3 linked regions of the Astyanax mexicanus genome follow. The main gene of each other region encodes a partner of the protein of the gene in region 2 in a complex. Links are inferred from orthologs where the notes say so. Each region holds a gene or a part of one and is shown on either strand. Other genes may lie near its edges.

Region 1 (10,302 bases), on a different chromosome or scaffold from region 2:
TTTAAAGGGGACATATTATACCTATTTCTACACAAGTTAGAACAGGTCTACATTCTATACAAAACATGTTTATTAAGTTCGTTACACAAAATCTTACCAGCTCTATTCTTACCAGTTTCAGTCTTTTTCAAAATGAGCCTTTTAAGAGCTCTGTCACTTTTATGCAAATAAGCTATTGCTAGACACGCTGCATGTTTATGCTGAGCGTTTACCTCACATAAACATTGGCTTGTGCTAAATGGCAAAGCACAAACAAGCTAGTTCATGCTTAACTGCAATAGAAGTACAAAACACATTATTTGAAATTTCTTACATCTACCTAATCTGCTGACATGCCAAGGACAGTAGGTACAGATCCCTCCCTCAGAGGAAGTCTGCTGGCTAATCCTACTGTGTACTGTCTGAGGTTCTCAACCAGCAGACAGATGTTTTGTTTTTGTTTGTTAGGGTTTTGTGTCATATCAGCAACATGTTGGCTATTTTATGGCATTGACAATGTTAATGACTTGAGCATCACAGACTTAAATCAGTGTCTTCATTTTATTAAGTATTTAAATTAAGTATTTAAGCTGGTGGAATCTTTTTAAGCAGTTATTTTATATTTGTACCAGCAGACTGATTTAGAGGGTGATGTCACAATAAGGGAGGAGCATCCAAACAACTTATAGAAGAAAATGATTCCTGACCCCAAACTCTTTCAGCTGATTCACAGAAAACTAATATATGGATTTTTTCGAAACTTGGAGAATGTTTATAAGGATAGTCGAGACCCAAGTGGAAAAACAAAAGCATGCAAAAAGTTAGACCAATACTAATTAAACCTAAGTAATAAACATGTATGCAGAAGTATTACTGTCACTGCGTTAGTTATATACAGTATGTCTCAGTGCTGTACCTCTCTTGAGTCTCTCCATGGCGCTTTTGCTGCCGGCGTAGGTGGGGCGGATTTCTCGGCTCATCTCCTCAATAACGGACAGCAGCTCACTGTAGGTGGAGCCTTGTGACACTTTCACTGGCTGGAAATGAACAGACAGGGAGTTAGCATCTTCCTCAGACTCAGCTCACACTAACCTCACAGCCACATCTGGCTGGTTGAGACATGAAAGAATAGGAAACTAATTAATAATAAAGATTAGTAACTATATAAAGCTGAAATCATATATCACACAAACATCTTAATATTTTTTTGTACATTGCTCTCATGCAATACCCTTGTATCCTTAAAATGTTAACTTTACAGAAGGAGGAAAATGCTTTTTAACTTTCAGTGAAATAATTTGAGCGTTTCTATTGGTCCATTAATCATTAAATATTGACACAATATAGAGAACCACTGTCAAATTCACATTTTAAAGAGAAAATTAAAAAAGGAAAAGAAATTAGACATTTTATAATAATAAAAAAAATACAAAACTAAGAGTAGCTCAAAAAATTAAAATCAAAACAGGCTGTAAGAACTCTAAAATACCGTGATTACTGCTATTAAAGTTCCCTGTTCTCTGACTGATCTTACCTGTACGAAACCCATCGATGGTGGACCGAAGTCACTGAATGCTGGTCTGAAGTTGGATGAGGAGGGCAGGGACGGTGAAGAGCCGCAGGATCCTGAGGATAATAACAGACGAAAGAGGTTATTATAGTGAAAAATGGTGAGCAATATTACACATGTATATATCTATATATTTATAACTTACAGAGAGACTACACACTGTGGTATAGCTTTAAAACTAATACAAATAAGTCAAAATGAACCTAAATCAATTCATTTTAAAGTAGTGGGGTTAGTGTCTGGCACTTGTAGTAGAGCAGTCAGCATTGTTTGGTTATTTTCCAGCATACAATAAATACATCAGCGAGTATCAATTTAAAATATCGTCCTTAACAGCCGATGCCAATGATTCTAGGAAATGAAAATAAGTAATTATAGGTCAATACTGATTTAATTCTGATATTATTGTGTATTCCTTTTACATGAAAGATGAAGTAACAGTCTTTAAATTCAGTGTTTTTTTTATCATTTTATTTTTTTTGCATTGTAGATTAATACTAAAATAATCCAAACTAAGAAAAAAGTATTAATTTATTCAGGCTTTCAGTAAACAGCTGTGCTGAACTCATCAAGAGTTAATTACCTGAATTTCTTGTCTCTTAATAAAGTGTTCGAGAGCATCAGTTAAAGTAAAGTAGTGAAGAGGTAGAGTTACAGGTATACAGTGAATAGTGAATATTTGAGTAATGTTCGAATCCAGATTATGAGAAGCAACAACTACTCAACTAAATAAAGAAAAAATGGCTTTAAGAAAAAATGATTAAGAAATTGAGGTCAGTCAATCTAAAAAATGTCAAGCACTTTGTAAGTATACCCAAGAGGACCGTTCCAGGAAAGGAAGACAAAGACTAGGGTGAGTCCAATATTTTAACTTAGCTAGCTGAATGAAGTGTAAATCTATGAGGTATCGTAGCGAATTGTGTTGATATACAGAATATCGCAGAATCACAGTATTGTTATATTATGTTATCAAGTGTAAAGAGCTTCATGGAATGAGTTTCCTCGTATCACTGAAACGCAATGCAGGCCAGCAGATACTTTTGGCATTATAGTGTACAAGTCCTTTATCAGGGGGGAAACATTAAGCAGAATATAGGCAGTTTAAAAATGGCCCTGTGTTCTTCATTGCTGTGTTGGATGGTTTTGGGTGGTTAAGCCCAGTAATACAGCCTGTAAAATGAGCTTTTTTTCATGCATTACTGCGTTTGCATAATAATTGTTCTGACTGTCTGAATAGGAGTGCTGTAAAATGCTGTGTGTGATTCTGACGAAGGTTCAGGAAGGCCGGTGTAAACGGGTCAGACTGAACTGCAGATAAAGCCTGAGTTATAGAGGCCATTGCCATCTGTCTCTAATTACATAAATGTGTTCATGCCGCCATATTGTGTGTGTGTGTGTGTGTGTGTGTGTGTGTGTGTGTGTGTGTGTGTGTGTGTGTGTGTGTGTGTGTGTGTGTGTGTGTGTGTGTTTGTGTGGCACAGTAAACAGTCAGATGTGTGTCAGGGCTTCCGGCCGCAGTGGTTTTACAGTGGCAGGAATTTCCCCCGCTGTTCACCTCTGCTTACCGGCAGGACGTGGTCAATAGAACGCCAAAATAAAAGTACTTTTTCCACAGTTTGAAGAAATGTACATGCAAACCTGCTACATTTTAACCTGATTACATTCCTTCCTGTGCCTGTTTTTATAGTTTTTAAACAGAATGCAGAAGGTCTACCATCATTATACACTGTATTGAATAAAAGTGGGAATCATAGGGCATCTCACGATACACAATATTATCACGATACTGTGATTCTGCGATACTCAATATTTGATGCCACATATCGATAATCATGTATCGCAAAGAAAATATTTTGTCCCACCTCTATATGTCTATATGTGACAACTGCATGGGATGTTGCATACAGATGAAGATTAGCTATCTATATTTCCCTGTAATGCTGCTTTAGGTGGATTTTGTCTAAACTTCAATTTTATTAAATCTTAAACAGATTTGTAGCTGCATGAAAATTATTGGTGCTTCCCATTTTTTCTATATTATTCCTTTTTAAAGCTGACTGAGTTTAGAGCTGGACAATAACTATATTGACATTTTATATTATTGCATTGATACATTTTCTTAACATATTGACAACAAGCGTATCAAGGATATCATCAGTACTTAGAATGTGTAAAAAAAATCTTGTTTAATTGGATAATATGCAGCTTAGGTGATACATTTTTGCATTGTGAGAATGTACTTAAATATTACATTCTCATAAATATATCTGTAAAATATTCATAAAAAAATATAAAATGATTTATATAAAACAATTTAATATTAATATACCTGTAATATAAATATACCCAAAATATATTAAACCAAAAAATTTGAATGGCTAATAATCCAGCCTTGGTTGAGTTAACCCTTTCAGACCATACATCCATTACAATCGACATCGTGTATTTGATTTATTTTTTTAAACGTTTTGTTGCAAATAACACTATTTCAGAGCTGTTGTCCATCAGAACAGACCATAAACCAGCCAATAAAGGAGTTAAAGCCAGTGAAAGATTGATAGAGCCATTGAGGCAAAGTAACATCTGATTTTTACTGATTTAATGTTATGTATAACACTTTTTAATCATTGTTTTTTACTCAATATGAAATAAAACATAACATTGCACACAGGCTTTCAACGCAATGGAAATAAACAAAAATATTAAATGTTTTAGTTAATTGGATTTATTTGCTATATAGAGGTTATAGTAGAATATTATTTTCTTTTCTGTGCATTACAGACAGAAAACATTATTTTGAGAACTTTTTCAGAACAGAGATAATTCAGGTCTGAAAGGGTTAATTACAGTATATTAATGAGTCACAGATAAACAGGTAAATACACGGTTTAAAGAGATTAATTGTGGTATAATTACCCGGTGGTGTGTGGTTGGATCCGGCAGGAGCAGGAGCTATGGGTTTATAACTCATACTGAATTCGCTTTGTTGCTCCGTGTTTGTTGTCGGTGGTGTAAAATCTCAGAGCTGAATTCGGATTGTTGAGTTAATGCGGTTTATTCAGCAGCTCGGGCTGAACTACCGACCGGCGTTTAACTCCTTTAACTCCTGCTAAAGTTCAGCTTAAACCCGCGGTTTAAATCCTCTCGGTTTATGTTCTCCTGCCCGCTGTTCTGTAGCGCTGCGGATTATTCTGTATAAAAACTAAATTATAAATAATATTAAAGTAAAAACCGGACTGACAAAGAGAACTACAGCTAATCTAACCAAACCGCTACCGGAGACAAAACCCCTCACACAGACCCGCGCTGATTACACCTCTAACAACCGCTAAAAACACTGATTAACCCGCTTCTGACCGCGGAGACACCGCTCTCTATCACACCGCTGAGTCCCGCAGTTTATAAAACTCAATATTTATCATAAACACAAAATAAAGCGCTGAATCCCCGACCAGCTACCGCTACCGCTTCCACACACACACTCACACCTCACTGCGCATGCTCACAGCGCTGCGTCATCACGCACGACTACGTGTGATAAACGTGCGTAATATGATTATTCCTCAGCTTTAAATATATATATATATATATATATAAATATATATATATATATATATAAATATATATATATATATATATATATATATATATATATAAAAATCACGACTACGTGTGATAAACGTGCGTAATATGATTATTCCTCAGCTTTAAATATATATATATATATATATAATTTATTTTTCAAATATACAGGAATAACTGTATTATTTTCAGTATTTTCTAAATGATATAAAGACAGTAATTGATGATTTAAAAATAATTACACTCGAAACCATTACACACATTAAGAAAAATGAATTAATCAACAACAACAACAAAAAACATATACGAGAACACTTTCATACACATAGCTGGTATATGTTAATGGAATATAAATAATTTAACTTGTAGTTCTTTAATAATATCCTCTAAAAAAGATGTATTATACCAGTGCTATAAATATAAAAAACGTACTATAAATATAAATGTACTAAAAATATTGTGGCGTGGAAGAGGAAGGAAGACCCGTGAGACTCACGCTGAATGCTCAACAGCTCCTTTATTGAACCGGCTTGCCACTCACTTACAGTCTTTAACAAGACTAGGCGAGCTAAAACCATTCCCACAGAGCTAAATAGCCCAAAGGCCACCAACCCAGCTGTGTGTCTCCCAGATGGCAGATCCAGAGTGGTGCCCACCCTCTCTGCATAACCCCTCCCAAGGGAGATGCCCCACCCCTGTCATCCTCGCACACAGGAGAGCAGAAACATGCCTGCAGGCAGCCACACACACAACCCAGAGCTGCCACATAGCCCCCCTCCCAAGGGTCAGCCGTCCCGGCGACCCCACCAACCCAACACAAACCCCGTGTACAACAGAACATTTTTTTTTTTTTTACAATCAGTCGCAAACAAAGTCATTAAGACGGGCGGGCGGCCTCCGTGCCCGCGGCAGCCTGGAGGGGCCGGGCACGGCACCGCCTGCCAGTGGCTCCGAAGAGCCAGAGTTCAGGTCAGGCACGAGTGCAAGGCCGGCAGGCTCCGCACCACCGTCCACAGTGTCCGACAGTCTCGGCCTATAGGGGGCCAGCCTATCACGGTGCACAATCATAGTGCGTCTGCCCCACCGGACCTTATACACCACCTCCCCCAGCCTGGACAGCACCAAGCACGGACCCACCCAGGCCGACTGGAGCTTCGGGCACAGTCCCTTCTTCCGCTGAGGGTTATATAGCCAAACCCTCACCCGCACCACCAACGGGTCCCCAAAGCAGCGCGTGTCGTGCGCACGCTTCTGCTTCTGTCCGGCAGCAGACTGGTTGGAGCGCGCTAGACGGTGTGCTATTTCCAGCGAAGACATAAGGTCCAAGACAAAAGTGGGCGTGTCCGAAGCGTACCCGCCCCCGTCAGGAGGCGCCCCAAAAGCCAGGGAGACCGTCGTCCTCAGTTCGCGCCCGAACATACTGTAAGCAGAGCCGGCGTGAATCCCGTCGTCTCCTGCACAGCGGAGCGACATGCCAGCAGCACTACCGGCAGGTGCCTGTCCCAGTCACGCTGGTTCTTGTCCGACACCATGGCCAACTGCGCCGCCAGCGTGCGGTTAAAACGTTCCACCAGTCCATCACTCTGCGGATGAAGGGGCGTCGTCCTGGTCTTATGGATTCCCAGGATGCGGCAGACCTCCGCCATGACCTCCGACTCGAAATTTCTCCCCTGGTCGCTGTGCAGTTCTTCCGGAACCCCGAATCTGCAAAAGAACTCCTGCACCAGGATATCCGCAGTAGTGACCGCCCCTTGGTCCGGCACCGCGTAGGCCTCTGGCCACTTCGTGAAATAGTCCATCGCCACCAGAACAAAGCGATTTCCAGAGTCCGTCACCGGAAAGGGGCCCAGCACATCCACGGCCACCCGCTCCATCGGGCTGCCGCACTGGTAAGGGTGAAGTGGGGCGCGGGGCGCCCTCGAGGGGCCCTTCTTGGCAGCGCACACATCACAGCAGTGCACGAAGAGTTCCACGTCGGTTCTACACCCAGGCCAATAGAAGCGTTGCCTCAGGCGCTTCAGAGTCTTGGTGACACCAAAGTGCCCAGCCCCAGGTGACCCATGAACTCCCCGTAGGACCGATCCCCTAAGCGTCCGCGGTACCACCACCTGAAAAACGCGCCGCCCGTTCGCCGGATCCTCCCAGGTATGGCACAGCACGCCGTCGGACAAACTAAAACTAGCCCAGTTGGAGCGCAACGCCATAGCAATCGGGCCCAGCGGCACCACCTCCCCCCACGGCGGTGTGACGTTCGCACTGAGCGCGTGTACTGCCCACAATAATTCGCGATCCGCCCGTTGCGCATTGCGGAGCTGCTCTACGGACACCTGAGCCACCCCGACAGCGCCAGTAACATCCCCGGAGATTGCAGCGCAGCGTGCGGTCTCAGCAGATTTCTCCTCAGCACGAGCACAATGTTTGCAGTCGGCGGCCACACACGGCCGGGGCGAGAAAGCATCCGCGTTACTGTGGCCACGGCCCGGGCGGTGCACAACCTCAAAACGAAACTCCTGGAGTCTAGATAACCAGCGCGCGAGTTGGCCCTCGGGCTCGCGGAAACGCATGAGCCACTGTAGCGAGGCGTGGTCAGTGCGCAGCAGAAAGGGCACCCCATACACGTACGCTCGGAAGGCTTTCGACCACCGCGAGTAGTTCCCGGCGCGTTACGCAATAGTTGCGCTCCGCCTTGTCCAGGCAGCGGCTATAGTACGCTATTACGCACTCGGAGCCGTCCTGAACCTGCGACAGGACTGCTCCGAGGCCGTGGTCGCTCGCATCAGTATCCACAATGAAACTCTCAGACACCTTCGGATACGCTAGAATCGGAGCATTGCACAGGCGGCTTTTTAGCTCCTCGAATGCCTGCTCCGCCTCGTCAGACCAGCGGAATTTCACACTAGGCTTAGTCAGAGCATGAAGCGGCGCTGCCACGTCCGCGAACCCCCTAATAAACCGCCTGTAATTCGAGGCGAGCCCCACGAAGCTGCGAACCATTTTTGCGTCTCGCGGTGTGGGCCAGTCACGGACTGCCTCCGTCTTTTTGGGATCGGTTTCCACGCCAGCACCGCTCACTACGTGGCCCAGGAAGCTCACACGCTGCCTTAGCAGATTACACTTTGCCGGATTGAGCTTCAGGTTAGCCGCCTGAATCGCGCCGAGCACCATTTCAAGGTGAGACAGTGCGGAGTCGAAGTCGGTTCCGTGCGCCAAGACATCATCCAAATAAACGACGCAGCACGACCGCGGAACCCCGCATAAAACACGCTCCATAAGACGCTCAAAAGTAGCCGGCGAGTTACACAATCTGAACGGAAGCACCGTGAAATGCCATAGGGCTGAGCCGAGCGAGAAAGCGGTTTTCTCCCTATCCCCTGCCGCGAGGGGCACCTGCCAATATCCGCTCCTCAGGTCTAACGAGCTGAACCAGGCTGAGCCAGACAGCTGGTCCAGCGTATCGTCGATCCTGGGGAGCGGGTAGGAGTCAAGCTTCGTGACAGCGTTAAGTCGCCGATAATCCACGCAAAAGCACCAATTTCCATCCTTCTTTTTCGCAAGGACCACCGGGGCCGACCATGGGCTGCTCGAAGGCTCAATAATGCCCGTACTCGCCATCTCGCGGACTAACTGCTCCGCCGCTACGCGCTTTGCTAACGCCAGACGGTGCGGCCTCAGCCTAATGGGCTGGGCGTCACCCGTGTTTATCGAATGAACCGCAAGGCTAGTTTTAGTACACTCGCGCTCAGACACAGCGAAACTCGTGCGAAAATGGCCGATCAGTTCGCGCAAACGGAGTTGTTGGGGACCAGATAAACCCACACAACTGCGCTCCAGCATCTCCTCTATCGGATCTACACTCAACCCCGCATCCAGCGGACCCTCTACCGTATCACGCACCGAATCACACACATTCCCTCCCACCAGTTCACTTACCCCTAACTCGCCGCGTATCTCTACGGGGAGTCCAGTCACCAGCACCGAGCCCCGTGCACAGTCAATGATAGCTCCAACGCGTGAGAGCAGGTCCTTGCCCAGAATGCACGGGTCGTTGATGTGTCCTACCCAGAACTGTTGTTGAAAGGGCCCCTTGCCGACATCAATCGTCAACTCCGTTAATCCTAGGAGACCTATAGGATCCCCGGTGACTGAAGAGAGAGCGATGCGCTGGCTGTTGTCAGTCACAAACTCGGCCGCTACCTCCGTCGCTAGCTCGGGCCGTATCAGTGAGACTGACGAGCCCGTGTCCACCAGCGCGTTCACTGTCACTCCATTCAATGTGCATTTCAGGAAATAGCCGCTGAGTCCGGCAGTTCCGGAATCAGATCCCGAGGGTAAGCATAGCGTTCCTGGGGCCACCGTAACCCTCACTGGGTGGTCCCGGCTCAGTTTCCCGGCCGGCTGCAGTGCGCTCGCTTGTGGCCACGCCCCCCGCAGCGCCAGCACTCCAGTAGGGCATCAGACCGGCTCCGACCCCACCTCTGCGAATCACGGGCAACCGGCGACGCCCCCCACGGTCCAGGATGGCTTGAGAGGATGAGTTCGGACCGCTCCGCCACCTCCACCGCGGACTCCAGGGTCTGCGGGTCGGCCAGCCTCACGTGTTTGCGCAGCTCGCAGTGTCTCCCCCTGCTGTCAGCGTCTGTCCGCCACTAGCATTTTGGTGGCCGCCTCCGACGGTTGTCGGCTGAAACGTGTTCTCAGCACCCGCGTCAGTTCAGGCAGCTCGCGGCGGCACGGAGCTCGATCAGTACCCTCAGCGCGTCGCCCCGCAGCGCCAGGCAGAGGTTGGCTGCCGTCTCGGCGTCCGTCCAGCCCGCACCGCCCGCCACGATCTCAAGCTGAGCTTCGAAGGCTGTCCAGTCAGCGCTGCCGTCGTAGGGGGTAAGGCGGGGTTGAGCCGTCAAGCCCGCCATCCCGGAGGCTTGCGCCGCCATCATCGCACCGTCCGTTCCACGAGTCGGCGCCGCTGTCCTTGCGCCATCCGCTCCATGAGCCAGCGCCGCCGTCCACGCGCCATCCGCTCTGGGAGTCAGCGCCGCCGTCCTCGCGCCAGCCGCTCTGGGAGCCTGCGCCGCCGTGCTCGCGTCGTCCTCTCCCCGGCCACGACCTCCGAACAGCCCGCTGGCGCCGTCAGGTCCGAGTCCACTCCGCTGGAGAGCCTTGCCTCTAGTCCG
Region 2 (10,953 bases):
AATAATGATGTGTGTTCAACTAGGCACCTTGGGAAGGAAAATGAGAACAGGAGAGGATAAACCAGAACAGGTCATAATCTGGGGCACAAACATGAACACAGACAGAGACAGAGAGACATCAGCAGAGAGGGAGGGATGGCGTCCCTTTCAAAGCAGCATTAGCCCTGCTTCTTTCTTAGATGCTTCTTTTATAAAAAGAAATTAATTTTTTGGTCCTATGAAGAACCATTGACAGTGCGTGATAGAGATAAGTGAGATTGAAGGGCTTTTAAAAGGTCTAAATAACCTTTACACCTAGTTCACACTCACACTCTCTTACATTTCTATTATGCATGCTACCCTAGGGCAGGGCAAATAATTAAAAATTAATTGAAACTGACATTCATTGATTTAGGCAATATGATTGATTTGATCGTATCGCCCAGCACTAATGGTACCTACATTACCTGACCAGATCTATTCTGTTTTTTTGCTTTATCTTTGGTCAAATTTGCTATCGGGTGTCTGAAATCAGGTACTGTTTTAGTACCTGCTCACTCTTGGTTGTAAGTGATGAAACCATTAAAGTGATGTTTAAACCTTGCAGAGTTCTGATTGGCCACAGGGTATTGCCATTATATGCAATCTCACAAAACTGCGGTAGTGGCTGTGTCCCGATTGTGTAGTACACACTAATACTTTAAGGCAGTATCTTGAAATTAATTCAAAATAAGTTGATTGATAAGCATGAACACATAGGTATGATAGGACAACAGATTGCAAAAATAATAATAATAATAATAATAATAATAATAATAATAAATTCAGTGCAAATGCAAACATCTTTATAATACTCATGCTTTTCCACAGAATTCATTTTGCAATATGTTCCCCTATCCTACATATATGTTCAGTAGAATTCCTTAAAATTCCTAAGAATCCTACCAAAGGGGCTCTGAGTGGTTCAGCGGACTAAGGCACTGCCACTAAGATCGACGGTTTGAATCCTGTTTATGCAGCTTGCCATCGGATACCTGAGCCCTAAGAGAGCACAATTGGCCTGGCTCTCTCTGGGTAGGTAGATGGCACTCTTTCACCTCATCACTCCAATGGGTGATGTCAATCATCACAAGGCTGCATCTGTGAGCTGTTGTATCCGAACTGAGTTGTTACGCTTTCCTCCGAGTGCGCTGTGATCAGCAGCAGTTCGAAAACAGGCATGTGCTAGTCTTCACCTCTTCTCCTTGTGTTGGGGGGCATTACTAGTGATAGGGGGAGTCCTAATGAGTGGGTTGGGTAGTTGGCTGTGTAAATTGAGGATAGTAAAATAATAATGATAATAATAATAATAATAATAAAATTATGAAAACAAAAAAGAATTCTACCAATAAAATGTGGAGCACAGTAAAATAACTGTGTTAAAATAGCATTTGTTTGCATGGGTAAGGCTATGCACTTATCACTAGCATTATGAGCCTATTAGAAGCATAGGCTAAAAGTGCTGCATTATGGAATGCTGGGGAAGAACAGAAGTGGACTATCCTGTTTCACTACACCACAATCTGCACAGTTTGTTCCTACACCACATTTCAAAATTGTTATGCAAATTGGATTTAGGTGTCATAAAGATTTTTTTTGTTTTGTTTCCCAATTAAACTTATGAATGGTATTGTGTCTCAGGGCTCTTTGGATCACTGAAATCAATCTCAGACACCTGTAAAAATTAGTCTGCCATGTGAGCCCAATTAAAGGAAAACTACTTAAGAAGCATGTTCCACATTAGGCAGGCCACAGGTTTCAAGTAACATGGGAAAGAAAAAGGACCTCTCTGCAGCCATAAAGTCAATGTCTTATATAGTGCAATGCATTGGACAAGGTATGAAAACATTAAATTTTTCATGAAAACTTAAGCGTGATCATGGTACTGTGAAGAGATTTGTGGCTGATTCGGAGCACAGAGTGGTTAGTGCACATAAAGGCAAAATGAGGAAAGTTTCTGCCAGACAAATCCTTCGGATTAAGAGGGCAGCTGATAAATTGCAAAAAGGAAACTGCAAAGTCAACAAATTACCATTTTCATTTCTTTACAACCTGTAAAATGTTTTGAAACTTCGCTGTGCATAATAATTTGGAACAGTGAGTTTTTTTCTTTGAAGAATATACTTTTATTATCAGGAGGTTTGTTCAATAAACTTCGATTTATACTCTTTTATTATACTGATTTGCATTTTTATTATTTGTCATTTGCATCAACTATTTAGAAAAATCTGGTAAAAACTATAATTTGCATAATAATTTGGAACGCCGTGTAGAAAACCAAAAGTGCCTTTTTTATTTATCATTATCTCCACTCCACTCACCTGTGCTCCTCCACCGTGTTGTTCTTGGCCGTGTCCCAGTCGGGCAGGGTGCTCGCGCACAGGATGACCATGGAGATGATGACGAAGATGACGGAGACGGAGGCGAGCACCTGCGCGGCCACGGAGGACGCGGGGTCCTCGAACGTCCTCCTCATCCTGGCCAGCCAGGAGCGCGCCTCCTCCTCGTGCTCCTCCGTCGAGTCCTCCGCCGCCGAGTCCCTGCGCCGCACCTCGTCGTCCACCGCGTCCGCCAGCTCCTCCTCGGAGAGGCAGGTGTAGGTGTCGGACATCCTGTCGTCCAGGCGCCGCTGGCAGCAGAACTCCAGGTGCGAGCTCTCGAGCCCCCAGTAGAGCATCTCGTTGTAGAAGGAGAGCTCGCACATCCGCGGCACGAAGCGCAGCTTTCCGGAGCGCACGTACAGCATGATGAAGACGAACGCCTCCGAGTGCCGGTCGAAGAAGAACTCGTTGCGCTCGCGGTCGTAGTCGTCGCACACCTCCAGCACCTCCTTTTCGGACGCGCAGCTGTGCAGGCGGCTGACCCGGCGCAGCGGAAAGTCCCGGATCACCTCCCGCGTGAAGGCGTACTTGGTGCCGCCGACGTTCAGGATGCAGATGTTCTTCTTACCAAACTTCATCTCTTCAAGCGCGCGAGGAATAAAGGGGGGTAAGGGGGAGGAGGATAAGGAGGAGTGGGGGGATTAGTTACTCTAATCACCTGTTTTTAGGTGAGAAAAGTAGGAAATTTGGATTTGGGTTTGGGGACAGCATCGTTTTCCTGCGCGCAACGTGAAGACGCGCAGACACACGCGCTCCGGGACGCGCAGCAGCTCCCGCCGCTCTGGAGCCGCGCTGGAGACTGTATTCTATATCCTTGTACTATTCCAATAACGAGGAATAAGGAGAAGCTGCTGGTGCCACTGCTGCTGCCGCTACCACTGCCACTGCTGCTGCCACTGCTCCGAGTTTGCAGCCAGGAGAAGGAGCAGCAGCAGAACGAGCTGCCGCGAGTTTCCTCCCCATCTGAACTCCAGCCCCTCGGAATACAGGGGGGCAGTTCGTGCACGCGGTGATGTCACGCCGGCGAGACTCCAGTCCCGTTACGCACTTTTACGCACGCGTGTCCCGCCAAGCCGCGGAGCGGGGCGGGCCGAAACCAAAGCCCTCATAACAAGGAGCCCACCCTCTTCAACCCTAACCCTCTAACTCTAAAAAATACGATAAAAAAAGATAAAAAGATTTTTTTAAGTAGTCTTTGTTTTAGTTATTTTTTCATTTTATTATTTGTTCAAAGAAACAACACGTTCAAAGAAAACGTGAGAATTTAGAGCATTATGAAAATATGGAGAACAAAAGAATCGAACTGCAATTCACAGATTGAATAATAATATTGAGATGAGATCAGGTAAAACAACATTTTATTAATCCCAGAAGAGGGAAATACAAATGATCAAACATTAAAATGGTTGGTTTATTAATAATTAATTTAAGATATGAGATTTTAGTCCAATGTTATCATTTTACAGCCAACTATTACTTGAGCAACACAATTAACCATTGACCACAATTAACAATGAACTTATTCAGCATGAAAAACAATAAAAAAAATAGGGTGTAAGAAAATATCAATACATTTAGGTGCTCTTATCTGGCAGGTAATGCTGATGGACTTTTCCTGTGCAACAGAGGTAACTCACGGTCTTCCTTTCCTGGGGTGGTCCTGATGAGAGCCAATTTCATCATCAACGTTTTTGATGGCCTTTGAGAGGAGACTGCGCTTAAGGAAACTTTCAAAGTTTTTGTATTTTTTCAAATTAACTGAGCTTCATTTCTTAAATTATTTTTTTAACTTAAGTGATTCAGTTTTTGAGTTCAGCGCAGCTGTTAACTGAAAGCCTGAATTCCAGTGACTCTACTTCATAAAGCTGACTGAAAAAATGACAAGATGTGCAAAACTGTCATCTAAACAAGAGGTACTACTTTGAAACATCTAAAATATACTGTGGTTTATTCAGTTTGTGTTTGTTTACTAAATAATTCCTTATTTTTTTCTTCATAGTTTGGATGACTTGCAGAACATATATTTTTTAAATGATGCACAACACTATTAAATGAGATTCTAAATTAGTTTAACTGTTTAATGTTTTTTTTCTGCAGTCAGTTTGGCTGCACTAATGTTTCCCAGAAAAAGAAGTATTTTATTCAGTTCACCTCACTCTACTTCATTCTAGCTTGCTCTGCTTTGCTGTACCTCACTGTACGTCATTCTATAATGATAATAAAGTTAAATTTATTTTGTTTAGTAACTTTATTATGGTACTTCAAACATATTTGGGTCATTATCAGGCATACTTGCAGCAGGGCAAAGATTTTAAGCACACCAGCAGGTCCAAAACAAAATGAGGGAAAACCCTCTAATGTGGCTGAATTAAACCCATTGTACAAATTCCTTCATCGAGAAACTTATTGCCAGGTATCGCAAATGCTTGATTGCAGTTATTGCTGCCAACGGTGAAAAGATACACAAGTTGAAAAATTTACAGAGTAATTTCTAAGACTTTGGGACTCCAGTAAACCACAGCGAGACCTATTATTCAAAAATGGAGAAAACACTGGTGAACCTTCCCAAGAGTGACCGGTCTATTATAGTGTATAATTATGATTTAAAAAGCAAAGAAATTTGTAAGCGGGGCAAAAACTTTTTCACACCACTCTCCTGTCCCGCCCCCCTTAAATTACTGTATTGTATTGTGTACTAATCTTAGGCGTACTTAGGCTCTGCAGCAGGACAATGAGCTGAAGCACACCAGTAAGTCCACCTATAAATGTCTAAAATAATAATAATAATAATAATAATAATAATAATAATAATAATAATAATAATAATAATAATAATAATAATAATAATGAAGCAAAATTAAGGTTTTGGAGTGAAATGTGGAATTTATTACAATAATCTTTTTTTGACCCTTATACTATTTCAACTTTATTTTTTAGATGAACTGTTTTTAAATGTGTGGCCCTAAAAAGCTGTCATAGGTTTGGATATATTTAAATAAATCATTTGGATATAAATTATTAAACTATACTTTTTATATTTACTTGGGTTACCTTTGTCTGATATTAAAATGTGTTCGATTATCTGAAAAATACAGCTCTGCAAAAAATGAGACCACTTAAAAATGATGGGTTTCTTTGATTTTACCAAATGGAAAACCTCTGGAATATAATCAAGAGGAAGATGGATGATCAGAAGCCATCAAACCAAACTGAACTGCTTGGATTTTTGCACCAGGAGTGAGCAGCATAAAGTTATCCAAAAGCAGTGTGTAAGACTGGTGGAGGAGAACATGCTTGAAAACTGTGATTAAGAAACAGGGTTATTCCACCAAATATTGATTTCTGAACTCTTAAAGCTCTGCAACTTTTTTGTTATTTCTAATTTTCTGCAAATAAATGCTCTAAATGACAATATTTTTATTAGGAATTTGTTGGAAATGTTGTCCGCAGTTTATAGAATAAAACAACAATGTTAAACCTATACTTATAAATAGGAAAATTAGAGAAATTGATTCAGAAACTGAGAAAGGACTCAGAAAGTCCACTCTGAATGGCTAAAAAAAAGTTGAATTCTCTTGAAATGCCACTGTGTACATATTTTTTTCTCATAATATTACAAGTCAACTTTTTTTTTATTTAATATATTTTTAAAAAGGGCCCTAAAATGCTTTCATATGTTTGGACAGATTTGGCCCTTAATAAATGAAAAATGTAGGTATGACAAAAAAAGCAAAAACAAAAGAATCTGTGAGGGGGGCAAAAACTTTTTCACACCACTCTCCTCCCCTCCTCCTCCTCTTCCTCCTCCCTCATGAGGAAGCTCCTCTCCCTCCCTCCCTCCTCCCTCTCTCTCCGTGAGTTACTGTATTGTACTGTGTACTAATCTTAGGAGGGGGGCTCCTCAACAAAACACACTGAAAAAAAGAAAAAGGAAAGAGGGGGGAACAGAAAGTAGCCTCCCGCTCATCTCGTGCTTCATTCACCCCCACCTCTGTAGCTGTAACTGTAACAGCGTATAACCTAGCTACCGCTTTTATTAGTCCGCTGTGCAGCACACCCGCTTTTTATTTAGGCCTTTATTTATTTATTTTAGTTTATGGTCTGGTTTTTTAACACTCCGGGAGGGCAGAAATGGCGGCCAACATGTACCGGGTCGGAGGTATGTCAGTCTGATCATTTCTGTTTAAAGGTAAAGTTTCAGCGTTTCTTCAGAGAAACGAGAAACGTGGGGGGGTTTAGGAGGAGTTGGACGTTTTGTAGATGTTTTAGAAAAGGGGTTGATAATGATTCATAGGTGTATTTTGGTGTTTGATGTGGATCAGGCCTCTAAAACTATGGTAGGCTAACTAGAGGAATGGTGGTGGAGAATCCAGTTGAATCCAGGTCCAGAAAGTGAAAATCCATTCCGGGATTGTATTCCAACTGCACGTGGAAGATAAGCTGCAGCTGAGCTTCCCAATGCAGTTGGAACAAAATCCCGGAGCGGATTTTCAATTTCTTGACCTGGATTCACCTGGATAGCTACTAACACCTCTGCAGGGATCTAGCTTGGCTAAGCTAGCTGAGGAGCTGCAGCAGAGCTGTTTGTGCAGTTGGAACAAAATCCTGGTCAGGATAAGGTTATAGCTAACCTAAAATAATGGATCTGGATTCAGCTAGCTAGCTAGATTAGCTGGTTAGCTAGCCAACCTACCACATCTGCAGGGATGGATTAAATTGAGATCGTTAGCTTAGCTAGCATAGCTAGCCAGCATGTCCAGGTAAATTCAGGTCCAGAAGCTAGCTTACTAGCCTAGCTAGCTAACTACTTTATGCTAGCTAATGCTAAATCCCCAGGTTTTTGTTCCGACTGCATGGGCTAGCTAACGTTAGCTACCTAGCTAGATAAGCTAGTTAGCATAGCAAGGCCATCATCACCATCACCTATGCTAAGCTAAGATAAGCTAAACTAGCTCTACTAGACACACTGGTTATCTATCAGACCTGGCGTCCAAAAATCGTTCCTCACAAATTAACCCGCACACTTTACAACCAAACTGGGCCCTAGTTTAAAAGTTAACAAATCCACCATAATTTATTGGACGGGTTATTTTATATTATCTATTTCTTTGTGACCGTTTCACCCCAGTTTCTGGCTCCCATCCATCCATTAACGCTAGTTTAACAACGTTAGCGTTAGGTTAGCTAGCTGAAATCGCCGCCGCCAAACAATTAAGCTGTAAAAAAGATTATATTTCAAGTTACAGGCTTTTATAAAACACATGCGAGGTTTAGTTAGTGTCTAAACACTCTGTACAATCTGCATTTTGTACCATTTAGTAGCACAAATTCGTTTAATAGGCGTTTTAAGTTGGGTTTTAAACGTGTGTTTGGCATCACCGTTCAGAGCAATTAGCCGGCTAACTACAGAAAATTGGCCGACATTGTTTCGTGGCGTAGGTTAGCAATAGGTGAAGCTGTGGCAGAATAAAACGAGGCTGGACATGAGCTGTGACAAACTATACTTAAGCTATATTACTTAGTTATGTTTAAAGCTTTAAAGTCTTTTAATAGTCTGAAAATGCGTAGAAACGAGTGCTTTCAGTTTCAGGCTCAGTGTATCGGAATGTGACTGTGATGGGCCCGTTTTATTAGGGATAATATGGAGCTAAAGTAGTTAGCTAGTTAGCTTATAAAGGTAGAAAATATAACTAGAATATTTCGACACTTGAAACCTTCCGATAGATAGATAGATAGATAGATAGATAGATAGATAGATAGATAGATAGATAGATATTCTGAAATTGCTGTAGACCAATGTACAGATATGGCAATGATACCTAACCTAATAATAATATACAACGTGTAACTACATAAGTTAAAAAAAAAAATAATAAAAAATCTGCAGTTATAATATAAGAACAATATACAACTATAAGAATATAATAAGAACTACAAGTGCAAGTAACTAAAGCTGTCAGTCCACTGTAAACAATAAGGGTGTCCCTAAAATAATATCACAATATCACTGCCCATGCAATTCCCTCACATTTCTAGGTAGGATAACCTACAGCTCTGGAAAAAATAAGAGACCACTTCAGTTCCTATTATTCAGTTGCTTTATTATTATTGTTTAAAATGTAAAATGAGAATTGTTGTTTTATTCTTTAAACTATGGCCAACATTTCTTCCAAATTCCAAATTAAAATATTGTCGTTTAATGCATTTATTTGCAAACAATGAGAAATGGCTGAAATACCAAAAAAGATGCAGAGCTTTCAGACCTCAAATAATGCGAAAAAAAGTTTATGTTCATAATGTTTAAGATTAAAAAAATCAATATTTGGTGAAATAACCCTGTTTTTTAATCACAGTTTTCATGCATCTTGGCATCATGTTCTCCTCCACCAGCTTTTGGATAAATGTATGCCTTTACTCCTGGTGCAAAAATTCAAGCAGTTCAGCTTGGTTTGGTGGCTTGTGATCATCCATCTTCCTCTTGATTATATTCCAGAGGTTTTCAATTTAGTAAAATCAAAGAAACTCATAATTTTTAAGTGGTCTCTTATTTTTTCCAGAGCTGTATTATACAGAAGATTTTCAAACAAAAATCTGTAAATCAAACAAACAAAACAATCCTGTATTTTTTTTCTAGAGCTGTATAGCTAATCTGGGCTCCGAGTGGACTAAGGCACTTCCAGTATGATTGGGAGATTGCCGTAGGTTCAAATCCCAGGCATGCAGCTTGCCATCAGCTGCTGGAGGCCTGAGAGAGCACAGTTGGCCTTGCTCTGTCTGGGTGGGTAGATGATGCTCTTTCCCCTCATCACTCCTAGGGTGATGTCAATCCGAACAAGGCTGCATCTGTGAGCTGATGTATCAGAACCGAGTCGCTGCGCTTTCCTCTGAGCGTGCTGTGATGCTACTTGGTAATGCTGCATCAGCAGCAGTTGGAAAAGAGATGGTGATTGACTTCACATGTGTTGGAGGAGGCATGTGCTAGTTCTCACCCTCCTTATGTTGAGGCATTGCTAGTGATGGGTCGTGATCAGTCGTGAAATTTCCTCAATACTTAATATTCTACAGCCAACTGTCAGAGATGGAAGCTTAGGGATTTGCAGTAACAGGTACTAAAATAACTAATTTACAGTATTCACATAGCAGAATGTTTAATGTTCTATTTCTGTGCATATTATGTGTTTATATCTGAATTCTGCTTTTTTCCTGTCTGTGTTCTGAAATCATAGGATCCTATAAACTGAGGGAACAGTTTATTAAACATCTCTGTACTTGTAACAAAGTTTGCGATATAATATTGAAAGAATCTCTGTGGTAGCAAAAACCCCCTTCTCATTCTCACAATATGGTTTTATATGTATTGAAATGAGATGAGTGCCATTCATAATCATAAGTAGAGTTTACTAAGATGACTACTATGTACTATGTGAGATGAGATGATTTTCTTTGGTATGTTATCATTAATATCACCATATATACAGTTCATGTTTCTGGTTTTAGTCACTACTAAACCACAGAGTCTCATCTTTGCACACTGTACTGTACTGTTTACTGAACACTGTGGAGTTCTGTCTTCAATCATAAGCATCGTAAAATCACACATTCTGATGGTGTAAGGAGGGCTTTAACTGTTGCTTTTTACAGATGCATGTGTCTGTTTCTGTTTACAGGTAATGTTATGAGTTTGTGCTTTTTGGGCTGATAAGCAGGCAGTGCAGAATTAAATGCCATCTCTGTTTTTTCTTGTTGCAGATTATGTCTTTTTCGAGAATTCTTCAAGCAATCCTTATCTGATCCGGAGAATAGAGGAACTGAATAAGGTACAGCACTATGGAGGGAATGGAAAGTAGCTGTTGTGGGTTGTTTTGGTTGTTTTCAGGAGTAAAGACTTAAAGTAAAACCAGAATCCAGGTAATTTCAGGACTTGGAAAATGACTTTTTAGTTGGTAGGGAATTTTGTCTGCAAGCTGTGTGAACTGTTTATATGCTGTAGCACAGGGGTTCTCAACTGGTCTTAGCCTGGAACCCACATGTTGTGATGGTCATCAAGTCGCGAACAACTTTTATAGAATACAAACCATAATTTAAACATATATATGCATGCAAAGGGAATTAAGAGTTTTTTTTTAAGAAACTGAGGGGAAACACGACAACTACATGTATAAAAATGACAATAAAATTAAATATTAAAACCGTACAAAATAAATAAGGCCACAAAATGAGATTTTTTCACTTCTCTGCATATCTTTGCATTCAGAGTACATTAGTAAGAAAAACTCTTTTTTTTCTCAATATATAAGCTGAATACAAAACCACATGAGCATTAATTATTTTTAATTTCTAATTATTTTATTTTTGGGTCCTGACCCACCAGTTGAGAATTACTTCTGTAGCAGATTCAGGCTTTATGAAGGGGGGGGGGGGGGGTGTTGCAAAGAGGGGGTGTGGCTAAAACTAAATGGGCATATATGGATAAAATAAATGCAAATTTAAGAATGGGAATGAGTTTTATAGACTTTGTGCCATAACTGACAACAATTTATACTGTTTTGTGCCA
Region 3 (10,863 bases), on a different chromosome or scaffold from region 2:
ACCAGGAGAAATTTGAACTTACACATAAAAAAAAATGAATAATCAATATAAACTATCAATATTTCTGCACAGCTACCTCTCCACTAAACCCAGTCTCCATACCTTAAGCCAAACCCTCACATCTTTTAAAATGCTTAAGTAAAATAAAAATGTTATGAATACACTATGTTTTTAGTCTAGGTTTGTTTAATGCCAAGTTCACAAAGTGACTTTGAACATGTAAAATTTCTTATTGTATTGTGTTCCCATGTATTACACAATGTCATCTATTTAAACTGGGAAAACTGCAAAGCCAAATAAAATTAAACCAAATCGCCACTGTGTTTACACTAAGCTTAAAATTACTAGCAAAGTAAGCTTCCAAATAAAGGAATAATGATAGATTTGACAGTAGATATCGTTTTTAGTACATCAAAACCTACACAGGCACTTCTTTATTAACATTTTTAACATCTTCATTTTTATTCAACATTAATGCAAACAAAGGTCTGAAACAGACTCTAATATGGCCTTATATTACCAAAATGTAATATACACCTGGATCAGCTCTGGCCTACTGATCATTTACACTGGATTAGGACATCAATGATATAAGCAATCTAAGCAAGGGGTCATCTCTCATCTCTCAATGCAGAGGACGATGCCTGATCACTAAGGGCAGAAACTATACTGAACTTTTACCAGATTTCTCAAAAAAATCAGTTAGTAACATAAATACACGCCATGGCATGAAAATATGCAGGATGAGAAAATTCTAAATATTTTTTATCAAACTAGCTATAGCGCAACATGTATGATTAAATTAGCTTTGTGTGACAGTGCTTTTCTGGCAATGTGATTGTAGCACATGCACCTATTGAGATGATGCTGAAACAATATACTGTGCAGCCCAATTGTACGGTGCTATATATATATATATTTTTATCATTTTGACAATGTACTTTAGGATTATCGTGGATATCTTCAGTGCTTAAAGAACACTGAAAACTGCAGCAAAAATTTAAAGGGAATTACTGTGCTATGCATTAGAGGAAATGTGCATGTATCAGAACATTGTGATATTCTAATAATACAGTATGAAGGAGGATAAATTGGACTTGATGCACAAAATAATATCAAGTAGAAATCTAAAATGGTGTGCACGATAGCAAGCTAATTTATATGAAGGACAAGAGAAATTCTTCCACCAGATTAAAGACTAGAGAAGTAAACAAGGCCAAACCCTAACCCGGAATATGAGCGTCCACTCTGAGGAATGAAATAGAACAGCCACATCGTTTAGACAGGTTATGCTCACTCCCTCTAAAGTTGACCGTAGAGGTGGCTACAAGTGTGTCTCTTGTGAAAAGGCTTGAAGAATCTTAGAAAAATATTCATCAGGCTGATCAGGCATGAGGCTATTATGTCTTGATTCACATGCACACATTTTTTAGGGTAGGAATATGTTGTCACAATATTTCAGTATGTGGCATCAGTTATGGATATTATTATTGAAACCTAGGCACTCTAAACTCCCTAAGAATCGCATTGCAGTGATCTTGAGATGCCCTAATGTAATGATATCAGACAGAAATCCAAATGCGATAGCGTGCATGGAAGCTAGCTATAATTCAAATGCAAGGAAAACTGCATCTGGCTGATGAAAGTCTGGGACAGACTGAAGCAGAATAAGGGGCACTAAGACAAGAGATCTTCTCCCACCATATTAAAGATCAAAGAGTAGAGAAGTGGATGATGGAAACCCAAATCTGGAATAAAGGTTTCTGTCCTGCCTGAGGGCTAAAAGAGAGGCTCCATCATTGAGCCCAATGTTAGCCACAGAGATAAGCAAGCCAGGGATGTCACACATAATTCTAGATATCAGCACTACATTTTAAGCAAGGTAATAAAGGCTGTCAACTCAATCAGAAAGACTCACCAGGCTGATCAGGTATGACTGCCTTAGAGTTTAGCTGGAACACACAACATTCAATTAGTCTAAGTGTAAAATATTGATCCTAAATAATATAATCTAACGTTAATAATAATTCATATGCAAGGAAAACTGTGTCTACCTAATGCTACTATAATACCAACTACAAAGATAGTGAGGCAAGGGAGGTCACATGTGGATATTAAAGGCTGCACTACATTTTAAGAAAGGGAGTAAATACACATTGTCAACTCAATTAGAAAGAAATTGCTGCTTTTTTGCTTGGCTGGTACACACTGATGTATACAATAAGAAAATCTGAAAAATCTGCATTGTAATATCAGAGAGTGATCCAAAATGGTGTGCATGAAAGCTAACTATAATTCATATGCAAATATGCAGTCTGAAGCAGAACAAGGGGACAAGAGAAGAGATCTTCTCTTCCACCAGACCAAAACCAAACAAGTAAAAAGGCCAAATCCTAATCTGGGATAAAGGCGTCCATCCTTTCTAGGGACTTAATGAGAGCTTGTCAATCGTTTAGCCAGGTTTGGACCACAGAGAAGCCATTGATGTCACACGTGGCCCTTACAGGCAGTACAAGTCTAGGATATGATAGACAAAACACAACCAAACATTATATCCCAAAATAAGGAAGGGAGTGAATACACACTGTCACCTCAATCAGAAAGAAATTGCTGCTTTTTTGCTTGGCTGGTACACACAGATTTATATAATCAGAAAATCTGAAAAATCTGCACAATTATATCAGACAGAGGTCCAAAATGGTGAACATGAAAGTGCTAATGCATATACATTTTCGGTATTTAGCATATACAAGGAAAATTGCATCAGGCTGATATTAGTCTGGTTCAAACTAAAGCGGAATAAGGGGCACCAAGAAAAGGGATCTTCCTCTACCAGTGCACCAGTGTCTGTCCTTACTGAGGACTGAAAGTGAGCAGCCCCATCATTTAGCCAGGTTTTGCTCCCTTACCTTGAAAGTTGACCACAGAGTTATAGTGAAGCCATGGACATCACACGTGGCTTTTCCAGAATAATGTACTACATTTAGCTCATTTTATATATTAAATATCAAAAAAAGCTCATCATCAGACTACATCAGACACATACACATATACATATAGTCAACTTGGACAGTAACAACAGGGAAGAAATAATGAACAAAATCACTATATCAGACAGAGGTCTATGAAGCTAATTCATATGCAAGGACGTATGACTCAGACTTAAGCAAAATAAGGGGCACAAAGACATCCAAAAATCAAACACCAAAAGGCCATAGCCCAGAGAAGTGGACAGGACTGGGCAAAGCATAATATGGGCTGAAGGCGTCTATACTGAGGTCCTGTCTGAGGACTAAAAGAGGGCAGCCCAATCCTTTTTTGCTCTTCTGCCTCGAAAGTTGGCCACAAAGCCAGGGATGTCACACGTGGCAAGTCTATTAAGACAGTATGTAGAGGAAAAATCTTGAACAATGCATAAATCATTAGAGCTGATCTACAAAATAGTAATAACGGTAATATGTAAAGTGTAAATAATAGTGTGCATAAAAGCTAGCTAATTTATATGCAAGGACTCATATGACTCAGACTGAAGCAGAATAAAGGGCACAGAAGCAAGAGATGATCTTCCACCAAATCAAACACCAAAGACCAAAGACGAGAGAAGTGGACGAGCATAGCCTAATCTCAGCTAAAGGCGTCCGTCCTGTCTGAGGTCCTGTCTGAGGACTGACTGAAAAAGAGCAGCCCCATCGTTTAGCCAGGTTACCCCCCACCCCTCCCTCCTCACTCCCTCCTTCCTTCCATCTCTCAAGTCTCCAACAGTGTAGCGCGGTCAAGCCCTTTTCCCTGCATTCAGCTCGAAAGGCGTAGCAGCATTAGCAGCCTCAGCTCAGCTCAGAAGGACAGAGAAACTCCCCCACCTCCTCCTCTTCCTCCTCCTCCTCCTTTTTTGCCACTTTAGGCTACACTCCCCTCACCTGCTATGTCGTCTTCAAAATCCAGATCGTCTTGCCCCTCTTCTTCATTGCTCAGCGATCCGGGCATCTTTACTGCATTACCCAGAGAAAAAAGGAGGGGGGGGAGGAAAAAAAAAATCACATCCAAGCTAGAGCTCACTAAAGTCGTGGAAACTTAACCCCTTCAGAGCAGCAGCAGAGGCAGCCTTTCAGCAATGCAACAACGCCTTTCAGTGAAGAAGAGGAAGAAAGGACGTCCAGCGAAGGTGAGGGGCTTGAGAAAACACTTGGCACCCCCAAAAATTAAAGAGAAGAAGAAGATGGAAAAGAGGAAAAAAAGAAAAAGGGAAATATGGCTGCCCTACATGGAAGCCGCCCCAAAAAATCTCTCCATTCCCTCCTCCATCCAAATCCTCCGCTCTGAAAATAAGAAAGAGCCAAAAATGGAACACACATGCCCAGCTTGTGACGTCTGGTCGGTTGCCATGGCGATCCATCCCATAATGATGATGGGGCACGACTAGTTAGTAGTGCTTTCCCCCTTAGTTACCAGTTGGACTAGTACATGCACGCACGCGCACAACCACATTGCTCGCGCACACACTGCTCACACAAACACGCTCACAGCGCCGAGCTCGTGCATTCTGAGGCTTACGTGGGGTTGAGGGGAAAACGTGGACGAAAGTTGTTTCGAGTGCTGTCGCGTGCTTTCTGTCCGTTGCCGTGTACGGCGAGCAACATCATCTCTGGATCAACCTCCAGACCGACCGACCCACCGCACGAGCGCAAGAGAGGGGTGGGGGAAACTGTGCTCGTCTTTGTTTGCATCACACGCGCCAGGTTTGGTTTTTCCCCTCTGCACGATCGACCAACACGCCACGCACAGACCGGGACAGAGAGAGGGCCGTCGCGTGCGCGCGCGTGAGTGTGTGTGTGTGCGAGCCTGTGTTGTGGTTGGTTTACAGGTGGGTATAAGTGGCGCGAGGATGCTCTTATTTAAAAGTAAAGGAAGGCTCTCGCGCTGTATTTTTTTTTTAATTCAGGGGGGTTGGGTTGAGGAGTGATCTCCGTCTAGATCGTGCAACAGATGCAGAACGCGGCCAATTAAAGAGCCGGTTAGCGCTCGATGCAATAGGCTCGCGCGTTCAGGACCACCGGAGAGTCACGAGCGCCGTTGTCAAGGTGACGAGGCAGCGCAGCCCGACACAAAGACAGAGAGAGGGAGAGAGAGAGAGAGAGAGAAACAGACAGGAGAGAAAGAAACAAAAAAAGATAGGATGGAAAAGAAAGAAAAACAGGGAGATAGAAAGAGAGACAGAAACTGCAAGAAAAAGAGACTGAAAGAACAAAAAAAGATGAGAGGCAGAAGGAATATAACGAGGTATTAATGACACAAAGAGGAGGAAATCAAAATATGAAAAGATGTATGCCAGGAACAATTAATAGAAAATAGATAAATGAGAGAAGGAGTAGGAAAGAACAGTGCAACACAAAATAAACAAAAGATACAGAAAGAGGAACAGTTAAAAGAAAGGACAAAAGGTGAGAAGAGAGAAGGAGTACAAAGACAGGAGAATAAAAAGTTTGAAAATGACAGAAAATAAAACTAAAGAGTGTATTGGGAAAACGTGACAAAAGATATGAGGGATGATGGTAGGGAGAGCTTGACGTGGCTCCAGTCTCTGAGTGTGTTTTAGATAATAAAGTACAGAGAAAAATGTGTTAATGTTTAAAAAGCTCTGTACACACAAAATTAAAGCTATGTTGTGTTGTTTAAAAACATAAGTCTCCCATTAACAAATGACAAATTCCAGTTGCTCATAAATATAATTGGCTTATATGAGCCAAATCTATCAGCTAAAGCTTGTTCTTACTGTCTTCTGCTTAGTAATACAGACTTGCAATGCATTTTGGTCTCTATTCAACTTGTTTAGTGAGCTACAATGTTTCAATTAAATTGCAAGTGCACTGCAGTGCCCTAAATATCATGTTCCAATTCCACTTTATAATTCTTATTCTTATTATTTGTTAAAAAAACTAAACTAAAATAAAAAAGTTTAGGTCGTAATGAAGAATTGCTTATAAATTTAAAGAATAATCAAGATTTTTTTTTTCCACAAAGCCCTACTAATGTATATTTTTTAGTAACAAATGTAATACCTCAAAATTTGCATTAATTTTCTATTTTTTAAGTTATTTACATTATGAATATTTAATTTTTTTGATTTTTTCATACTTAAATTTGAATAAATTATTACAATAACAAATGACAGGCACACAAAAAAACTTCATTTGATCCATCCTCTTAATCCATTTAAGCTAGCTTTTTGGACACTTAATGTAAGTTAAAGCATAAAATTAACTGTGGGAGTCATAGCAACCTAGCTAGCTTATGTATCCCAAATATATTTAGTTAGCATGCAAGCTAATAATGACAGTCCTTCGTACCGGTTGGTTAGTTAGCTATCAGTTAGTTATCAATAGATAACATTAGTTAAGAGAACAAGTGTCCTTGAAATTGCAATTTGACTGCCGGAAATAAGAATTTGAACGATATATTGTTTAGTTTTACTATTATTTAGTCTTTTTACCTCAGAAAGCGAAGTGTCCGAGGGCACAAACGGGTAAAATTACCAATTTACCTTTAGAGCTATATTCCCGCGCTTTTCTCCCTCTGCGACTGCCGCTCGCGCACCTCCAAACACACTTGCTATTACGCTCATCTACTCTCAGCGAGTATGTTTCACAGATCTGCCTTTTGGATTTCGCTGAGGGATTTGAAAACCTTTAAAATGCAAAAGGCAGTGCAGATTATTTACAAATACATAATACTTACATAACTTAGGTTAGAAATAAATGTTTCAGGGATTTTAGATCGTTATTTAAGATATATAAATTTGTTTAATTTCTAAAACAGGTATTGTGGGTTACCATTTAGCTCATAAGAGCCCAACGTATTTCTGAACATTGATACCAATTTCAAAATCCAGTCAGAAATCTCATTCAGGTTGGTTTCTTCCTGCTGGCACCTTACGGTAAATATTTTAAGGTTAAAATGATAAAGAAACAAATTACAATTTCAGAACTGTTAACATTTTGTTTTAGAAATGAGGTCACAACCAGCTCTATGGCATATTAAACATTCATTTAAGCATTTGAAGGGTTAAATGGTTGGAACAAACCTGTACAAGCTACCTTTATCTCCAGACCTAACCCAGCATAGTTATATTCTGTAAATTAGGCCAGGTAAATGAACACATATTGTGAGGACCTTTACTCATCTTTTAAAGGGTCTGTGACCACATTACCATAGGTTCTTTTGTGTTAATAAACAGTCATTCTCAACAATATTTACCACTTAATATTGACCAGAACTGTTGGTCACTTAAGATTCTTGTATTTTAGTTTTTTCATTTAACGGATGTCAACACCTCTTATCATTGAGCCAATTAAAGCATTTCCTCATTTATTTTAGCATAAAAGGTCTAAAGCAAACTTTGCCTCAGTTTGTTCATTTGATTTGTATTAAGCAGTAATATCAAACTTGCTTAAACTATTTATATGCTTTTTTCAATTGCAGCTTCTCTTTGCCCAACCTCAGTATTTGAGTATCATCTAAAGCGAATGTTGTGTAGCCCAAGAAGAGGTGTCTTAAGAAGAGTGCCAACAGTAAGATGCTGATAACCTTGCTTACAAAATGTGCTTTGGATCTAATTAGCAATTTTGTACAGTTTCTAGTGGTTCGGACAATCAAAAATCAACCAAAGATGACAAAAAAACAGATTGTGGTTGGCAGTCTAAACATAGTAAAACAAACCAAAAAAAAGCTCTGCAACATCCATGCTGACTAGAATTAATTTTCTGCTGCATCAGGAAAATCAGACTGTATATGGCTAATGTTTGACATACAAAAAAAAAAAAAAAAAGAGACAACTACAAATCGGCTCTTTTGAAAATTTTATTGACTTCCATAAGAGCAGTGTGCAAGGATTTAATCGTCATCCTCTTCCTCCTCTTCATCCTGGTTGATCTGGAAGTAGCGCAATTCGTAACTCTCCTTGGTGTTCGCCACAACGCGCAGCCAGTCACGCAGGTTGTTCTTCTTTAGGTACTTCTTGGTGAGATATTTCAGGTACCTTCAGAGAAACAAAATACAAATGTAATTGTCAGTTGCTATAAGTGGACAGATAATACATTTATGGGTGCCTAAATTAAACTAAAATCTATTATTTCCGTATTTACCATAAAAAATAAAATAAAAACATGGGCGCCCAAAAGCAGTTATGTTTTCACATTACTTTTTCAATCTAATCAAGAACTTACATGGGCAGTTGTGTTGGTATTGACGTTTTGGCAAAGAGTACAATAACAGCTGTGTATCGCCATATTCTTAACTTACCAACTAGGCCTACATCACATCTTTAAACACTGAGCATAAAATAACCTAATGTCCTCAAACACATCTACAGAAATAATCTTGATTTACTGACACTAAATAAACCTCATCAGCAAACACCAGTGTTTACCCTGTTGTCATCAAGTGCCCTTGTTCATTTCAGTGTTTCCCTTCTCAAAACACCTGACTCAACTCATCAACTCATTAACAAGCTCTTCATGAGTTTTAAAATGAGCATGTGAAAAATTGCACTGCAGGGGTATGCCAGCACTGGGAAATAATGCTACAAACAGCCTCTCTACAGGGGAGTAACATGATAGTTATTGAGCATTTCCAAGAGATTCTTGTACAAGAGATCCATCATCAGTGCCATTGTAGCCATGTACTGTCTTGTAACTCCATGTAGAGATAAAAATAAAAAGATAAGTAATCCCATAAATATGGTTAACAATAGAAGTTTAAATAAAATACATAAAAAAACAATCAAGCGACTGAAACTGAGGTCTAAGGGAATACTTAATATACTAACATTAAAACAATTGCTTAACTCCAAACCATTAAACAGGAGTGTTAAATAAGGGTGGACGAAATGTTCCATTCTTAAAAGCATCTCAACCTGGATGTAGACAATTCTGAACTGAATCACAAATGACAAATGTTTTTCTCGCCTGGTGTTGAACCTCTTCCGCAAGGGCCACAAAAGTTATGAGGTTAGACATTTCAAAAAACACAGGGACAATTTGACGTATACTTTAAAAATACTGGCCTATAACTTATATAATAATTTTCATGATTTTCCTTTATAAATCCTAAGTTCTGACAAGTCATTTCAGATAAATATATTATATAGCTGAAGTTCATAGGATTTACAGAAAGTGTGCAAAATTTATTTAAATAAAATTAGGCAGGTGCATTAATTTGGTCACCCTTGTCATTTCATTAATTTGAATACCTTGAGCACTAATTATTGGAACACACTTTGGTAAGACCACTGACCCTTGACCTACATACACAGAGAAATTAAATTATAAGAAAGGGTATAGGAGCCAATTGCAAGTTTTTCTCCTCTTTGCATCTTCTCTGAAGAGAGGCAACATAGGAACCTCAAAACAACTGAAAACAGACTGTTCAACATCATGGTTTAGAGGAAGGATACAAAAAGCAGAGATTTCAGCTGTCAGTTTCCACTGTGAGGAACATAGTGTGGAAATGGAAGACCACAGGCACAGTTCTAGTTAAGACCCGAAGTGACAGACCAAGAAAAATCTCAGATAAGCAGTCAAAAGTCAGTCAACTCACAGACCAGCTCCAAACATCTACAACACCATCATTTTGCTGCAGATGATCACTGTGCATCGTTCAACTACTCGGCGCACTTTACACAAGGAGAAGCTGTATGGGAGAGCAATGCAGAAGAAGCCTTTTTCTGTGCACACGCCACAAACAGAATGCCTTGAGGTATGTTAAAGCACATTTGGACAAGCCAGCTTAATTTTGGAATAAGGTGCTGTGGACTAATGAAATTAAAATTGAGTTATTAGGAGGGCGGTGTGCATAGCAGAAAAAAAAAACAGCAGTCCAAGACAAACACTTGCTACAGACAGTAAAATTTGGTGGTGGTTCCATCACACTATGGGGCTGTGTGGTCAGTGCAGGTACTGGGAATCTTGTCAAATTTGAGGGTCTGTTAATATCAGTTACACTGCTTAAAATCTACTCCTGGCATTCATGCAGAGGAACAACATCATCATTCTGGAATGATCATCTCAGTCCTGAATATCTGAACATTTGTGGTGTAATTTAAATTGGGTCGTCAATAATCAAAATCCATCAAACCTGACTAAACTGGATATGTTTTGTAAAGAAGAATGGTCCAAAATAAATCTTCAAACAGAAACTAGACTATTATTGGTAGCTTTAGGAAACGTTTAGAGGCTGTTATTTCTGCAAAAGGAGGATTGTTCTGTTAGGGTGCCCAAAATCACGCATCTGCCTATTTTTGTATTAACTGAAATTGCTGATCCGAATAACCAATGGTTTATAAAGCCTGCGCTTGTGCGCTACTTGTTTATACTTCTGCGTTTTACTCTGCAGTTTTAAACTGTGAAAACAAGAAAATGGGGAGGAGCACGTCAGGCTATGGCATAAGGTACTTGTTGCCTACAGCACAGCTTGACAAGTATAAATTGACCTTTACTTCTATGTAACAGACTAAAAATTCACCACAGCAGCACTAATAAGGGGGCCCCATAAAATCCACTTTAAACATCTAACTTATCTATATTTTATCTGTTCAGATCGTAATACAATGGGAACTATATATAGCAAATCTTATATGATTAAAAAATATAAAAAGACATGCACATTGAAAAACCTTAATTCTATAGTTAAATGTTGCAGTTTCTTTACAAGAGGGATGAAGTACCACTAACAGCTTTGGCAATGACCAAAATTTAGCCGCAAAAAACAAGCATACATATTACATGCATATTTGTCAAATTAATGTACAGAATAAATGCAAAGGCTACTGCCCTTTAGCAAGGGCCTACCATTAGGGGGGATGCCATATCA

Evidence for each region.
Region 1: mta3 (region 2) and cdk2ap2 share a complex: the UniProt entries of both Homo sapiens proteins name them as parts of the nucleosome remodeling and deacetylase (NuRD) repressor complex. The link is inferred for Astyanax mexicanus from reciprocal best matches to the Homo sapiens genes MTA3 and CDK2AP2.
Region 3: mta3 (region 2) and chd5 share a complex: the UniProt entries of both Homo sapiens proteins name them as parts of the nucleosome remodeling and deacetylase (NuRD) repressor complex. The link is inferred for Astyanax mexicanus from reciprocal best matches to the Homo sapiens genes MTA3 and CHD5.

The regions. Positions count from the first base shown.
Region 1 is NC_064414.1:54,929,310-54,939,611, forward strand, and holds the start of cdk2ap2 (cyclin-dependent kinase 2-associated protein 2), read right to left. Parts: upstream 5,059-10,302; 5' UTR 4,521-5,058; coding exon 4,466-4,520; intron 1,606-4,465; coding exon 1,514-1,605; intron 1,017-1,513; coding exon 896-1,016; intron 1-895. UniProt on the Homo sapiens protein: Acts as a component of the histone deacetylase NuRD complex which participates in the remodeling of chromatin.
Region 2 is NC_064422.1:39,780,004-39,790,956, forward strand, and holds the start of mta3 (metastasis-associated protein MTA3), read left to right. Parts: upstream 1-6,237; 5' UTR 6,238-6,530; coding exon 6,531-6,558; intron 6,559-10,148; coding exon 10,149-10,216; intron 10,217-10,953. Other genes in the region: kcng3 (potassium voltage-gated channel subfamily G member 3), read right to left, coding at 2,340-2,977. UniProt on the Homo sapiens protein: Acts as a component of the histone deacetylase NuRD complex which participates in the remodeling of chromatin.
Region 3 is NC_064431.1:8,374,466-8,385,328, reverse strand, and holds the start of chd5 (chromodomain-helicase-DNA-binding protein 5), read right to left. Parts: upstream 4,828-10,863; 5' UTR 3,985-4,827; coding exon 3,918-3,984; intron 1-3,917. Other genes in the region: rpl22 (60S ribosomal protein L22), read right to left, coding at 7,888-8,032. UniProt on the Homo sapiens protein: ATP-dependent chromatin-remodeling factor that binds DNA through histones and regulates gene transcription. May specifically recognize and bind trimethylated 'Lys-27' (H3K27me3) and non-methylated 'Lys-4' of histone H3.